Xenopus tropicalis: one gene and its partners. The protein of the gene in region 1 purifies or fractionates together with the protein of each later gene. This does not show direct contact. Links are inferred from orthologs where the notes say so. Each region holds a gene or a part of one and is shown on either strand. Other genes may lie near its edges.

Evidence for each region.
Region 2: the proteins of zzz3 (region 1) and yeats2 purify together in Homo sapiens (affinity purification with mass spectrometry; 3 studies listed by BioGRID, with this or other methods). This does not show direct contact. The link is inferred for Xenopus tropicalis from reciprocal best matches to the Homo sapiens genes ZZZ3 and YEATS2.
Region 3: the proteins of zzz3 (region 1) and tada2a purify together in Homo sapiens (affinity purification with mass spectrometry; 4 studies listed by BioGRID and IntAct, with this or other methods). This does not show direct contact. The link is inferred for Xenopus tropicalis from reciprocal best matches to the Homo sapiens genes ZZZ3 and TADA2A.
Region 4: the proteins of zzz3 (region 1) and kat14 purify together in Homo sapiens (affinity purification with mass spectrometry; 4 studies listed by BioGRID and IntAct, with this or other methods). This does not show direct contact. The link is inferred for Xenopus tropicalis from reciprocal best matches to the Homo sapiens genes ZZZ3 and KAT14.

What each region holds. Positions count from the first base shown.
Region 1 is NC_030680.2:80,371,329-80,375,510, reverse strand, and holds the start of zzz3 (ZZ-type zinc finger-containing protein 3), read right to left. Parts: upstream 2,801-4,182; 5' UTR 2,563-2,800; intron 1-2,562.
Region 2 is NC_030681.2:127,107,754-127,111,555, forward strand, and holds the end of yeats2 (YEATS domain-containing protein 2), read left to right. Parts: intron 1-73; coding exon 74-275; intron 276-436; coding exon 437-660; intron 661-1,257; coding exon 1,258-1,332; intron 1,333-2,673; coding exon 2,674-2,747; intron 2,748-2,860; coding exon 2,861-2,984; 3' UTR 2,985-3,302; downstream 3,303-3,802. UniProt on the Homo sapiens protein: Chromatin reader component of the ATAC complex, a complex with histone acetyltransferase activity on histones H3 and H4. YEATS2 specifically recognizes and binds histone H3 crotonylated at 'Lys-27' (H3K27cr).
Region 3 is NC_030678.2:76,073,088-76,076,587, reverse strand, and holds part of tada2a (transcriptional adapter 2-alpha), read right to left. Parts: intron 2,878-3,500; coding exon 2,818-2,877; intron 1,338-2,817; coding exon 1,246-1,337; intron 1-1,245. UniProt on the Homo sapiens protein: Component of the ATAC complex, a complex with histone acetyltransferase activity on histones H3 and H4. Required for the function of some acidic activation domains, which activate transcription from a distant site. Binds double-stranded DNA.
Region 4 is NC_030681.2:38,352,461-38,356,575, forward strand, and holds the end of kat14 (cysteine-rich protein 2-binding protein), read left to right. Parts: intron 1-2,163; coding exon 2,164-2,354; intron 2,355-3,157; coding exon 3,158-3,331; 3' UTR 3,332-3,615; downstream 3,616-4,115. UniProt on the Homo sapiens protein: Component of the ATAC complex, a complex with histone acetyltransferase activity on histones H3 and H4. May function as a scaffold for the ATAC complex to promote ATAC complex stability. Has also weak histone acetyltransferase activity toward histone H4.

The DNA.
Region 1 (4,182 bases):
ATGCACCCTTTTTTCCCCCCATTTACAGAAGCCCAACTGAATGTACTTGTGAACTATCCAAGTGGCTGGCCAAACCAAAACTGTGCTAATAAAATTATGACTATGAAAATTGGCATTTTTTTTATCATTTGCATATGCTAATTAGGGTTCAAATTTGGTTCAGGATTCGGCCAACTCCTTTCTAGAAAATATGGTATTTGGATGCACTTTAGACCTATGCATCATTAGGCTAAAGAAGGAAAAATAAAACTTGTTTTTATAACTTCTTTAGTTATTTTGTCCTACTTGTGAGCCCAGCAAGCCAGATTTGGCTCTTCAATTGATTTTTAAGGCCCCAGTGAATTATCCTTTTGACTCATTTAAATATAATCCAGTCTTCAGATGTGCACTATATTTCTTATTGCTCCATTAAAGGAAGACTATACCCCCAGAATGAAGATTTAACCAACAGATAGGTCACTTAATATAATATAAACTATTAAAGAATCTCACCAAACTGTATCTGTAAATATTGCCCTAACATCCTTTCCCTTGATCCACCATTCAGTGATGGGCTGTGTGCTCCCTCAGAGATCACATGACCAGAAATAATGAAACTAACTGTAACAGGAAGAAGTGTGGGCAAAAGGCAGAACTCTGTCCATTTATTGGCTTATGTGACTAAGCATGTGTGTGCGCCTTGCCTTCTTTGTGTGCACTGTGAATACTATGATCCCAGGAGGCAGCCCGTAATTCTTAAAATGGCAATTTTCTATTTAAGAGTACCCAATAGCACATACTACTAAAAGTATATATATATTTTTTTTTTAAAAAATGGTTTATTTAGATCAGGGGTCCCCAACCTTTCTTACTCGTGAGCCACAGTCAAATGTAGAAAGACTTGGAGAGCAACAAAAGCACAATAAAAGTTCATGGAGGTGCCAAATAAGGGCTAAGATTGGCTATTAGGCAGCCTCTATGCGCACTATCAGCGTACAGGGGGCTTTATTTGGTAGGAATCTTGTTTTTATTCAGTCAAAACGTGCCCCCAAGTCAGGAATTCAAAAATGACTCCCTGGTTTGGGGGCACTGAGAGCAACATGTTGCCCACGAGCCACTGGTTGGGTATCACTGATTTAGATGAAGCAGGGCTTTACATAAGAGCTTGGTCATGCAATATATTTTTATAGAGACCTTCATTGTTTTGGGGTATAGTTTTCCTTTAAACTGAAAAAGTCAGATAGCACTGTATTAATAGTAATTTCCAGTTTCAGTATTTACTTACTTAATATTTGTGCTGTCTAGTCTAGGCTTGAAATCACTGGCAACAACAAACATCTTGGGGCCTTTTTATCATGCTGTGTAAAAAAAATGGCTACCAAACAGACCATGCACATCTGATTGCTAAGAATTGCAGCGAAAAAAATGCATATTTAGGAAACTGCATTCATTTTTAGCAAAAAAGCTCAAAACTACAGCATTAAAGGAATCAAGCTCCTTTGAAAAACTGTGTAAAACAGTGATCCTCCAGTGTTTTTTTACTTCTACAGTTGTGTAAATAGCAATGAGTGGCAGGACTCTTAAAAACAAAATATCATTATCCACCCTGCATGCTCTCTCCAGTGCTATCAAAGAGCTTTATTAAAAAGAAAAAAAAATACATAGCATTTCAATTAAGGCATTTACAAGCCGTCCTATCGACTTTGCTGCATTTTGCAAATTTTTGCCATTTAGCAAAATTTTCAGGAGGGAAACAGGACAAATATACCTATCACTAGTCCCCTACAACAAGACGAATGAAAGCACATTTTCTGTGTACCAAGAGTTAGCATGCCGGTGTAAAGGTGCACGGGCAAATTCAGGTCCTTCAGCCAAATTCAGCATCTTATCTGTCTGTGTATGGGCACCCTGACAGGCCTATCCAAACGACATCTGATGGTGCCTATGCATTCCATGTATTGGCCACCTTCCCTAGCTCCAGGGTCACTGACCCTGACAATCAGAAAGCATTTTTTGCAGACAGAAAATAGGCAGACCAGAAGCATTAATAGTTAAGAAAACCATACAAGATAAATAATGAGGCTCAGCTGAAAAGAGGCAACATTGTAAAAGTTCATTCAAAAGTGAACTCCCCTTTCAGGACTGCGCCAGTGTTTTAAACAATTGTACTTTAAAAACCCCTAAGGCACACAAGCCAACAGGCACCACTCACTACTACATGCAGCCTGATAGCCATAAAGCCCCACCGTGGTGTCTGATACAGTCCCCTGCGCCCAGAGTCCAGGTGCATTACCGCACCGCGAAAGGGCGAGGGCGCTGTTTGCTCACATGCTAGCACAAGGCATCGCCAATTCTTACTTCTCTAGCAGAACTACAGGTCCCTTTAACATTGGCTTGTGTATAGCAAATGTAATTGCTGCATTGTAGCTGCAGCTGCACGGTTGTTATATAAATGCTCCACTTTATTCACATGATGGAAGGGTTCCCCACCTACCTCCCACCCTCGCCGCCGCAAGGCGCAACCCCAGATAGCTCCCTTGGCACGGTTACCGAGAGGGGGCGGGTCTCATGGACGTCGCTCACCTTTGTGTAACCTAATCACCACCGGAAACTCTCTGCTCTCATGGCGCATCTCCACGCTGAGCCAAAGCTTGTCTTACCCCCTCCCCAGGGGAGTCAGGCCGCCGTGCACACGCACACACTGCAGGAAGCGCTGCTCTCTACACCACCGCTTCCGCTTCCCACAGGCCGCTCTCCATTTGGGCACCGCGGCGCCACCTGCCGGTGCTCGGGAGACCTTTCCAAAGCAGCGCGAATAATAACAACGAGCATGAAGAACAGCTGATGGTTTACAGGTTGGATCTCGGTGTCTAATTTTAACTGAATTTGCTTCACAGGAAAAGGATGGAGGGAAGCGAATTGAGCATGATCACTTCTAAGAACATTTTATCATCATAAGTGTAAGGGCTGGGCCAGCAATGTAATACCGAAGGCTATAAAAGGGAATAAAAACAAAGGAATAAAAATGTTTTGGTTTTTTTTGCATCTTGAAGCAAATTGATGTACTGAGACCAGTAGAATTAATAATCAATTAAACAGCCCCTAACTACTATAATCACTTTTATTCCACACCTTGAAATTCAACGTTTGTCAAATCTCCTTGGGGTTGGTCTGTATGTTTAAGCAACTGAGGATAGTGTATTTGTGCAGCATTGTAACCTTTATCCTAATGTGATGGACTGTCCAACGGGATAATACTTTTTATGGCCATAGATCTGTTTAAAGCCTCTGTAGACATCACTGTATGACATATTTTATTCTAGTCAGGCCCTGGAACATGCTGTGTAAGATATGAACAAACCAATTTCTCTTTTAACTAAGGGTAGGGTTGCCACCTCTGCTGGGTTTTAATGGATGGGGAATCCAGTGCCATATTTCCCATTGCATTGCTTTTTTTTTTTGTCACACAACTTCTGGTAAATCGCTGATAAACACACTGCAGCACTCCGATTCCATGTGAAAAGTGTTTATTGTGCCAAGAAAACCAGGCAATGTGGGCTGGTGCCTGAAATGTTGCCTGGTTTTCTTGGCACAATAAACACTTTTCACATGGAATCGGAGTGCTGCGGCGTGTTAGTTGAGTTATAGTTGAACCTAAGCAGCACTTGCACCCGACACTACAAGTGCACAGTATAGTGAAGCATTATCCATTTTTTTTGTACAACTCCTGGAAAGCCACATGGGGATTGGATGGGTGAAATTTGAACTTCATTGACAAATGAGCTCACAGAAAACTGTTAGAAGAAAGAAGATGCAGGCACCCAAGCTCTTGCCCTCCTTTCTGATGTCTGTGCCTCACTAACAGCAGGGGGGCCCAGCTCACCCAAGTAAGTGCAGCACAGCCAGGCCCCCCTGAAGATCCAAAATCCACCAGGCCCGGGACAACTATCCCCCTCCAATGGCAGCCCGGATCACACATATACAAGCCGCAAAATAAATATCATTTCATATTGCAGTTTATGAATGATTTTATGTGTTGCTATGTGTTTCTCATTTGTGTCCATTTTTATGCCATTATACTCACACTTTGCAACTACTTCTGCCACAGTAGCCACACTGTGTAAGGGTAAGGCTGTACATGGCGTATTGTCAGCCTGCAAATAAGTACAATAAAAATACTCATGCCTGCAGCCGGAATCATTG
Region 2 (3,802 bases), on another chromosome or scaffold:
TTTGGAGCTTTCTGGATAATGAATCCCATACCTGTATTATATTAGCTCAACTGTGTTTATTTTGTTTTGTCAGTGGCAACGAGCAGTTACAATGAAAAAAATGCTGCAGGAGATCATCGAAAAGCAACCAAAGTTCAGTAATGTGGCGCCGCTCAAAACCAAACAGATCGTCCACTGGTGCCGCATACATGGATACACACCGCCTGATCCTGAGAGCCTGGGCAGTGATAAGGAATCCATTGAAGATGTGCTGGCTCGTATAGATAATGAGGCGGGTACGTTTATATGGGGTAATGAAATAGGTGACGTCCATTTTCCGTTGGATTCAGCCTCGTTTTTTACTCTTTCTCATCATTAAAAATATAAATATGCAAGAGTTCATTAAAATATATGTGAATTGTTACACATAAGCTAAAAAACTGGGGCCTTTTTATAGCTTTACAGACATCATTCTCTGCTCCTGACATTCTCTGCCAAAAAATGGAGGAACTAGAGAAAACGTTTAAAAAGGAAACAGAAGAGGATGTAGATGTGGATGTGCTGAGTGCCAATGAAGAACAGAGATTGCACATTAAGAAAGAGAGTGAGGCAGAGGAAGATGCAAAGCTGTACATGGTAACCAGTCCTGCTTGTGAGTTCATCAGAGATAAAGCACAGGAGGTAAGGCCTAATTCTGTGGGCTCTGCATCATGGTGTGCAGCATAAATCCTGTGTTTAGTGCCTGCTTCTCTATAGATAGATGCAGTGATGCCATTGTTGGCCTGCAGGAAAAACCTATAAATCTAGAGATGATCAGCCTATCTACGTGTACAGCATGGTCCTGTGTTGGGGTTCTTGGTTGTCTTGGATCAGTCCCTTCAACAGTTTAGGCTTGTCATTTGCTTATTTCTACTATTCAATACAAGGATGTCCAGCCTATGTCTCTTCAGTTGCCACTGCACTCTTAATCCAGAGAGCTGTAATTTGGCAGATTGAGCAATGTCCCTTCTTCTAAATTGTAGTCTGGCATGTTAAGTTGCTCTGTTTAATGTTTTTGCCCAGCCCCACTGCAAGAACTCCCCATTCAGATTTATATGGTGTATATTACACTGTTAGGCACCATTCCTTTTTTTGCTATTAAAGGAACCTTTCCATTTGTGATTGATACTGCAGAATATATGAACTTTGCACTTTTACTACATAGGTTGGCACATTGATGGCTTGGCCTTTATATAAGCAAGTAAAGTAATTTTTTTCCATGGCTTGGTCTGTTTATAGATTGGTGTTTCAGTACAACCAGTCGAAGTGCAAGACAATATTTATACATCTGCTGTCGAAGAAATGATTTTAAAGGTAAGTGTTGCATATATATATAGCACATGTATATAGAGCACTCACGGCATTATAGTGTAGAAAAAGTCAGTTTATTTAGTCATCGGAACGCGTAGATGGTATGCTGAAATAAATCACTGACTTGATTGACGCTATAGCTGTGAGTGCTTTCTACTGTTGAGTTTGATGCTTTATTTTTGTCAGCACCCAGCCGTTGCCCCGATATTGGTGAGTGCCGATTCTTTACAAGACTATATATATATATATATATATATATATATATATATATATTTATATATATATATATATATATATATATATATAATATGGCCAGTCCTACACTCACTTTTATCAGATTGATTACTGATACTGCTTCAATATACATTTAACAAATGATTGGGTTTTACCAGCAGCTTATTTGCTGTCAATGTTAAAACCCCCAAATTGTTGCCCCTTTATTGGCTCATTGGGATCACCTGACTGTAGCTTGAAAGGGTGGGAGTTACAACATTGTGCTGCCCTGCTCCTGTATAAACTATAGCAAAAGAAAGGGAAAGTTGTGCTCACCACTAAATTTCAAATCATTAGAAAAGATGTCCTCTGCACCCTCCCATAGGACATTAAAACATTCTGTGCATTAAGCTACGAAGCAATGCCCTCCCCTTTAAGCAAAGCAGGGATTGTTTGTCCATATATTGCAATATATTCAAGCTGGCCAACTACATCAAAGTCATCCCTGGTCTGGCCAGTCCTACGCTCACTTTCATCTGATTCGTTAAGAATTCTTCTGCTTCATTATACATTTAAGGTAGCAGGACATGTACAATATAATCATAGCCCTCACCTGCTTTCAAGATAGACCAGCACTTAGAAGATGATGAAAACATGTAAAACACAATGAAAACAAAGATTAGTTGTGATTTCCCAGCCATGATGGGGAGCAGGCAGAATAAGGCACACACAGGCAGCATAGGACAGGCAGAGTATGGCACACACAGGCAGCATAGGGCAGGCAGAGTACGACACACACACAGGCAGCATAGGGCAGACAGAGTATGGCACACACAGGCAGCATAGGACAGGCAGAGTATGGCACACACAGGCAGCATAGGGCAGGCAGAGTATGGCACACACAGGCAGGGTAGAGCAGGCACAGACACAGTAGGGCAGGAGACTGGGAAAACTGTCTGCCAGTTGAATACACCCCTGGTGGTTAAATCTAGACATCAGTCCATGTACAGTCCCACAGCCTGCAGTACATTGCATTGCATTCAAAATTCAATTGTTTTCCTTTTAAAGACAGTAGGTCTGTATCATTTCTCTTTCCAATAACCTATTCATGTTTCTATCTGGTTTCTTCAGGCTACAGAACAGTTTGTTAGTGACGTCCTTCGGGACGCTTTAGGAGTAGCCTATCAGATGACATCCCACAATAGGTAAGTCATCCTCTTACAAATATGTATGGAGTCACTTTTTTATTTTTCTATTATGGTCAGCTTAATCTTTCCCAGAGTTTTTACATCACATTTTATTTTGTCATCATTACCAGAGCGCCACAAGAGATCACAGTATCAAATATCCACCAAGCCATCTGTAATATTCCTATGTTTGACTTCCTCACTAACAAACACATGGCCTCATCAACTACGGAGGATGAGCAGTCCTTAAAATAAGGTGTGAAAGTGGCACAAGGAAAACTACTGACAGAGCCATCTGTTTGCCACCTAGTGGATGGAGGATTCCGAGGCTTGGACATTCTCACTGAGAAATGAAATGCAACGTCTTACAGCTAGAACCTACGCGAATTGTTTTCTTATGTAAATAATGTCGGTGTAACTGTGTGTGAGAGAACCTGTAACTATGTATTTGTTATGTGTACATGCAGATCTGTATTTATGTACATGAGTTTTTGTATTTCCCTGCATGCAATAATGCAAGGTGCAAGCTAGGCCAAAGTGAATAAAACACAAATCCCTCTAGTTAACCTACCAGCTGCAAATGTTTCATTCAATATGCAACTATTACTGTATGGTGTATATGTCACAAATACAGTTCTTCAGTTGTCTATTTGAATCTTCTTTATTCAGGAACATGGCAGGCACTTCAATTGATCACCCCAGATCAGCATAGTAAATGCATAAATAATTTATTTTAGCATTAGCCCACCCATAACATGTTGTACCTGCCACTCATATGCCACCTACAGACTTCACAATTAAAATGGCTGAAGGGTGGCTTTAATAGAGCAGTTACTGACAGCTTTATAAGCCAATATGGCACCAAAATACAGATCTAGGGACTTCACTTTGCAGCCCTGATTGTTACCCACTAATGCTATATACACAGTCCATGTTTGTGCAACTGCAAGGATGCAGTCATGCTGCACATTTTTAAATGAGCCCTAATATGTATTGGAGAGTAAATAGGTGGGAAAATGTGCCACCTGGGCAAAGAATCTGCTTCACCTCAGTACAGTAACTGACTAAAGACG
Region 3 (3,500 bases), on another chromosome or scaffold:
TAAAGCAGAAACAAAGAGATAAAATTGTTTCATGGGTAAGATCTGGCGATTATGCCAACTTTCGCACCAGTTACAGAGAAGCACAACCTCTGCTTGGATATGCAGCTGCTTTGAGCATCTCTAATCTACAATTTAACAGAAGCTGCACTGTATAAGCTGCAAGGCACTGGTGTATAAAGGGCCAGCTTTGTGCATGTTTAGCTTCAGCCACTAGCTTCCGCAAAGACATGTAACAAACACTAATTAGACTAAGTTTAATGGAGAACTTAATACCTGTTATTTATTGTGCTTATGTTGAAAATAAATGTATAATGTCCATACAATTAAAGTGGAAATTTAGTTAAATTGGGTATGGTTATTGGTTATTGGTTAGGGATCTCATATCCAGAGGGATTAAGCAAAAAGAACTTTGTTTGGTACTTTGTGTTTACAACACCTAATAAAGATCAAATAATATAAGTTATCAATGGTCCAACCATTCTTGACGATATCTAACTGCCCATTTTTCAGATCTGATAGAAAACCTAGAAAAGACTTATGTCTAAAGACAGAGAGAGGTGTCTTTGAATCCAACATACAGGAACCTATGTGCCTGTACACACACAGTTGATAGTGCAAAGGTCAGTAATATTGCTGCAATTGATGTGTCACTGTTACTGGTATAAAGGAAGTCTCTTTTATACACTCTTTTTTTACACCTGTATCTAGCTATTAAAGTAAGATTTGTATCTGTGTGTGTAAATTGCAGGAGGGTGACTGGCAACACAAAACCCAAATGCAAAAGAGCCTGAAGTTCCGTGTCTTTGTGGATATAAACAATAAGCTGTTTTATTGTTATTTGTACAAATCAGCACCCAGCCCGGCTCCATTCCTTAACTTTTCCTTTGCACATGTTTGCTGTTGAGTGATGTGGCCTCATGACATGCCACAGCAAATCAGCTTTCACTCTGCTCTGTCACTCACATAATTCTGCGTCACTGATGCAGATCAGGGAGCCAAAGATTCTGGAGGGTGGGGAATGGGAGACTGCTTTAATTAACCATAACTCTGTAATAGTGCAACATTTTTTAAAAACTATAAATTGCCAAAATGTTTGTTTAGACTTTATATTTTTAATATTATTAACTTTTTTCATGTTTGTTCCCCTTTAAATTCTGGAGCTCTCCCACATTTGTTTTAAATCCATGTTTTTTCTTTTCTATATGTTCTCTATACACTACAACCCTGACATAAAACAAGGCTCACCAGTTTCCAAATCCACAATCCATTACTGCTTCAAGAAGTGACATTTCTTCTTGAGCTGTCCAGCTCGGATCTAGGATGGGAAAATCTGAAGTCTGGAAAACAAATCCCAAATAGTACATACATACATAAGATTCATTTAAAGAACCATCATTTATCAAAAATAATAGTCAGGGTTAGTACTGTGAATTCTTTAAAATAACACCCTATTTAAAGTGATTTTTGTGCATACATAACTAAGTGTATTCATATGGGTCTATGCCTTTTCTATGTCTAATTTTAACAGGTTTTGTTTGTACCTTTATGTCTATGGCATGCAAAGGCATGCTGACCACTAAGGTGTGCGCACGCAGAAACAGGTTGATTAAAAACACCCTTGCAGTTGCTTTTCATTGAAATCAATAGGAGAAGTTCTGCCTATGGCATACACAAATGCTGTGGGGGGGGCCACCTAGGAACACTCACTTTGATGTAAAGCATGTATTTGGCGAACATATAAGTGCGAAGACATACGGGTGATTAGTCGCCGTGACTTTTAAAAACTCTGTAGTGGCGACTACTCACAGTGATTTAGCTACTGAGTGTGATTTAGCTTGTGAAGTGCCAATTAGTCGCCCTGTGTGACACTGCTGTGAATCCATGCCACAGAATTCATGGACTAATCTGCTAAACAGGGGTATAGCTGGGGTAGCACCTAATCTAGGGGAGAGCTGTCAGTCTGTTTACATCGGTATAGTTTACTGGAAAACCATTAACCAGCAATTCACAAAAGTTGTCATAGTTGCAAGCCAAACAAATGGCCATAAAGACAGTTCCTTGGACAAAAAAAGTCTGGGCAGCGTGGCAAAACATACCGGGACCTGCACATTTCTTGGTCTCCCAGCACAGCCTTCAACAACAGGAACAGTGCCCCCAACATTTCATGACAGGGACAGAGTGGCCCCCAGCATTTCATCACAGGCACAGCATGGACCCAATAGTTCACATTTCATAACTGGGACAAAGTGGCCCAAGAATTCCATCACCATGTGGTCCCCAACATGTCAGGCACAGCGTGGTCCCCAGCATTTCATGACATACAAAGCGCAGCCCGCAACACCAGATATGTTCACCAGGAGGTGCTTAATCTCATGGATATTCAATATACACAAAGTTAATGACTAGACTGGTGCAAAATATTTTAAACTCTTTTAAAGTTGTACCTTATCTTTCAGTTATGTTTTAGTATGGCTTAGTCATTGCTATTCTGAGACAATTTAAAAATGGTCTTCTAGTTATTGTGGTTTTCAAATTATTGCCTTTATTTACCCAACAACCAGAGAACTGATTGATTCTAAAGCAAGATGTTGAGAGTCAGTGAGTGTCTTGCGCAATTCTTTCAAATATGAGCAAAGAATGTTTCAACCCTTCAGTAGTAGTATGAAAAAAAAAATTATTGCAGCATTTGGAGTGGAGGTTTAAGACTCCTTATAATTTAGGTTAAAAGATTTAAGTCTCCTTTAAGCATTTTGATTACACTTAACTCTTTCATAATTCATATTAGGCACATCAGAAAAATATATGAATGATAATTACCAGGATCTCATAGCTATGATCACTTTGGTGCTTTTTATATTCAAATCCTCTTGAGAAGCACTAGAGAATAAACAGAAAGAAACTATAGTCATGTTCAGTATGAAAACACTGGAACTGTTCATTAAAGGAACCTGTCTGGAGAGGAGCATATCAGTGAGTCAATGCAGTTCCACCCAATGGGATTTTAAAAACCAGACTGTTGGGTATCTGCCTAAAGTCAAACATCTGGTTGGTTACATGTCACATGTCTTAGACCGATCAGTCCTAGTTCAGATCTAGTAACCAAAGACGTGACATCTGTAGGAATAGGAGAGTATCTAGGTACCAACATTTCAGGCACTTTAAAATATGAATCTGTTGATAACAAGTTGTCTAATGCCAGGCAGTGTCATTCTGTGGCTACTAAAGCAAATAAAGTGCTGTCTTGTATAAAAAAGGGCATTGACTCAAGGGATGAGAACATAATTTTGCCCCTTTATAGGTCCCTGGTAAGGCCTCACCTTGAGTATGCAGTGCAGTTTTGGGCTCCAGTCCTTAAGAAGGATATTAATGAGCTGGAGAGAGTGCAGAGACGTGCAACTAAACTGGTTAAGGGGATGGAAGATTTTAACTATGAGGTGAGACTGTCAAGGTTGGGGTTGTTTTCTCTGGAAAAGAGGCGCTTGCGAGGGGACATGATTACT
Region 4 (4,115 bases), on another chromosome or scaffold:
GCTTCCTTTGCTGGTCAGTTTCCTTGCATTCCACAAGTGAGTATTTCCTTATAATCATGCAGGAGGATTATGTCACGGGGCGTGCTTCTCTTATCGCGTTGGCATGACCTTTTTTGTGCCATTTCCCTAATCTCTCTCCATTCTGAAGTGTCATTCTGCTGCTCTTCATCCTGAACTTCGCATTCTACCACTCTCCATCCTGTACTGGCTCTATATTACATTGTATTTGCTCTATACTAATGTACTGATATCATACTGACTTGGTACTGGCACTGCCTTAGTAATTCTGACACTGTTCTACCTTGGCTTTGTCAAGGAATCATATCCCACCAGAGCTACTTACCTTAACTGACACCATTTTTCCTGAACTAATACTGTACGCACTTGATTTCATTCCTCTGCTGGTAGCCGGTGACGCCTTATCACATCACTACTCACACCATGGCAAAGGGCAATCCAGAGGGACCCTCAGGCAGAAAGGTCCTACTGTGTCCTTCTGTTCAAAACTTCCCGGTGTGACTCCTTTCCAGGCTCAGGACTTGCCAGCTCTGGTCACAACTAAGGATCCAGAGGTGGTTTCCAATCCCTTGGTTGCACAAGAAGTTCCTGCATAGGCTCCCACTTCCAGTCAAGAACCTCCTCCATGGGCTATTCAGCTCTCACCAGGCATCTCTAAAATAGCAGCATGCCTAGATAAGCTACTGGACAAATTGGATCGCGACTGATCCGAATCTCTACACTAAATCCCTCAAACACCCTGCATCTCATAATCCTTTAGACTGCAGCAACACTGCTTCCCTCCATGCCTCCAAATCATTGAGTGAAGGAGAAATCTCCTCGGATGACTCTGGTGACACCATCCTAAATATCCTTCAGAAGCAATTGATTCCTTAATTGCTTCAGTCATTATGTGCCTCGACAGAATGCTCCAGAATAGCATCATCCAATTGGTGTGGGACCACCCTGAGAAATGTTTCCATGCCAACTGGCATTTTTAAAGCCCTTGAAAAAAGGTCCACTCTGCAGTCCGTGGAAATATCTTTCCAAGAATACAGCCCTTCAGTCCCAGATTCCTCTTATTTTAAGGATTCTATGGACAAAAAGTTGAAAGGGTTTCTCACGTCTGCCTTCCCATCTGCCTTCACATCTGCAGGGGTATGGTAGCAGGGAGGGTGATGGGTCTTCCTCTTCTAGTGTCCTGCCTCCTGCTGGGAGATATTATACATGCTCCTTGTGTCCCACAGACGTTCTGAGAGGAAAGGATTTAACTGTATCACAAAATCCCCCACTTTTTCGTTTATTTACATAAGCCCAATAAATATTTAGCACTGATGCCAGACCAGGTTAGGGTTCCTGTTGGGGAAAAAGGATGTGTGATGGGCAAAAAGATACAGAGGTTATATTGATTAAAGGAGTTGTTCATCCTGTTAAATTAACTTTTATTATAATGTAGAGAGTGCTAATTCTAAGACAATTTGCAATTGGTCTTCATTTTTTTTTATTGTTTGTGGTTCTTGCATTATTTAGCTTCCAGTTTGGCATTTTAGTAGCTGTCTGGTTGCTAGGGCCCAATATAACCTAGTAACCAGGCAGTGGTTTGAAAGAGACAGGCATATGAATAGAAGAGCGCCTAAATAGAAAGATAAGTAATACAAAGTAAAAATAACAGCACTGTAGCCTCACAGGGCAATAGATTTTTGGCTGCTGGGGCCTGTAACCCCCTTTTGAAAGCTGGAAGGAGTCAGAAGAGGTAGGCAAATAATTCAAAATTACAAAAAAAAATGAAGACCAGTTGAAAAGTTGCAAAGAATAGGCCATTCTATAACATACTAAAAGTTAACATGAAGGTGAATCATCCCTTTAATATTACATGTGGTTACAAGAGGCTGTTCTGACCAACACTATTGTCCATGGGACAGCGGCAGGCAGAGCACCTTTATCTCTACTTGGCAAACACAAGGGCAAATAATGAAGCTGCATTTGCCTCTCCTAGGTGCTAGAGGCTGCAGTAATGGCTGCAGTAATGGCTGCTGTAATGGCTGCTGTAATGGCTGCTGTATTGGCTGCTGTATTGGCTGCTGTATTGGCTGCTGTATTGGCTGCTGTAATGGCTGCTGTAATGGCTGCTGTAATGTATCTGATGTCTTTGCATTTTGGTTTCAGGCATTGACCTCTCTGAATGTTTGCAGTATCCAGATTTCAGCGTTGTAGCGCTGTACAAAAAGGTTGTCGTTGCTTTTGGCTTCATGGTTCCAGATGTGAAATATAATGAAGCCTACATCTCATTCTTGTTTGTGCATCCTGAATGGAGGAGAGCCGGCATCGCCACATTTATGATCTACCACCTTATACAGGTAAGCAGCAATACGAGGTGTGATCCCTTTAAAGGGGTAGTTCACTTTTAGTGTGTCATTGAATTCCTTATTCCTAGCAACTTTGCAATTGGTCTACACTATTTTTTTTAAGTTATTATATTATTTGCCTTCCTCTTCTACATCTTTCAAGCTTTCACAGGGGTAACTGACCCCAGTAACCAAAAACTATTGCTTTGTGTGCTTGCCATTTTATTACTAGTTACCCTTTATTCCTTTCCTTTCTATTCAGTCCCTCTGCTATTTATATTCCAGTCTCTCATTCAAACCACTGCCTGGTTGCTAAAGTAAAGACCCTAGCAACCAGATAGCTGCTGAACTTCCAAACTGAAGAGCTGCTGAACAAAAAGCCAAATAACGGGAAAAAAAACATAGGAATTGAAAACCAATTGCAGATTGCCTCAGAATATCAGTGTCTGTCATACTAAAATAATAATTTAAAGGTGAACTACCCCTTTAATATGGCTAAACCATTTTATCTTTAATGAGGAGCAAAAAAAACCCAGCAACCACCCTTTAATGTTTGCATCTTTTCAGCTCTGTTCTGGTAACTCCTAAAATAGCTCTATACTGTGACTAGCCCTACCCACATTCCCCTGCAAGCAGTTATATGATCCAGCGCCAGAAGTACCGTTTAATTGTCATTTCATTCTTTCAGTTTCCTGCTTGCTGAACCGCCATAAACTTGCCAGCTAAAATAGCAGTTTTTCTCCACCCACCCTTTTTGCCTCTGGCCAATTTCATCATTTTCTATAGAAATAAAAAACATTTTTCTTTCTTGGCAGACTTGTATGGGGAAGGATGTCACCCTGCATGTTTCTGCCAACTCATCAGCGATGTTGCTCTACCAGAAGTTCGGATTCAAGACGCAAGAGTACATTTTGGACTTCTATGACAAATATTACCCGTTGGACAGCAAGGAATGCAAGCACGCCTTTTTCCTTAGGCTGCGGAGGTGATGGAGATACATTAACCTAAATGCCTTGTGGGATATTTGGCAGTTTATTTCAGGGCAGAAAAGCCAATTAGTCTTTTGTAAGCTGCGCCTCACACGAAATAAAAACAATGTCAAAAGAATCATCTGTGTTTGTAAGAAAGGCTGCGACATGCATGGAGTAAATGGACCCTGTAGGAGCTAACAAATATTAAAGGGGAACCGCTATTATACCACCTATCGCTGTAATCTGTTCCTTCAAAAAGTATGAATAAATACCATTTTATATGCTGAAATCCAGCTGCAAAACGTGTTTTCTCTTTCTGCGTTATTTAAAATCCTGGTAGGGGAGGAGGGTCTAAAACTTTGATATTAAAAATTGTCCACAGTTTACAGACTGCATGCAGGAAGTACTTAACCACAATGCATTGCACTGCAACGTTCCCTTCCTAATTGACATAATGTGCGCAGGGAATTGTGGGATTTGGAGGATGCAGGCCGAGGAAAGTCAACTACTGTTACATTTTTTTTATTTTTGAGTTTCAAAGTAGTCAGCCAGATCAGCAGCAGAACAGGGGGAAAGGCTTAGGGAACTGTTCCACACCATATTATTACATTACAAATCATGAAAAGGCAGCATATTTTTAATTGATTTATATTGCAAAGTTGCTTGAAACTACTTTTCAAAAAGCTTGTGTTTGGGTGGAGTTCCCCTTTAAAGGACAAGGAAACCTGAACTCACTGGGGCGGGTGCCAATATTTTATGCCAGTCTGCACAATGGACGCCTGGGAAGTACAGGTAAGATGGC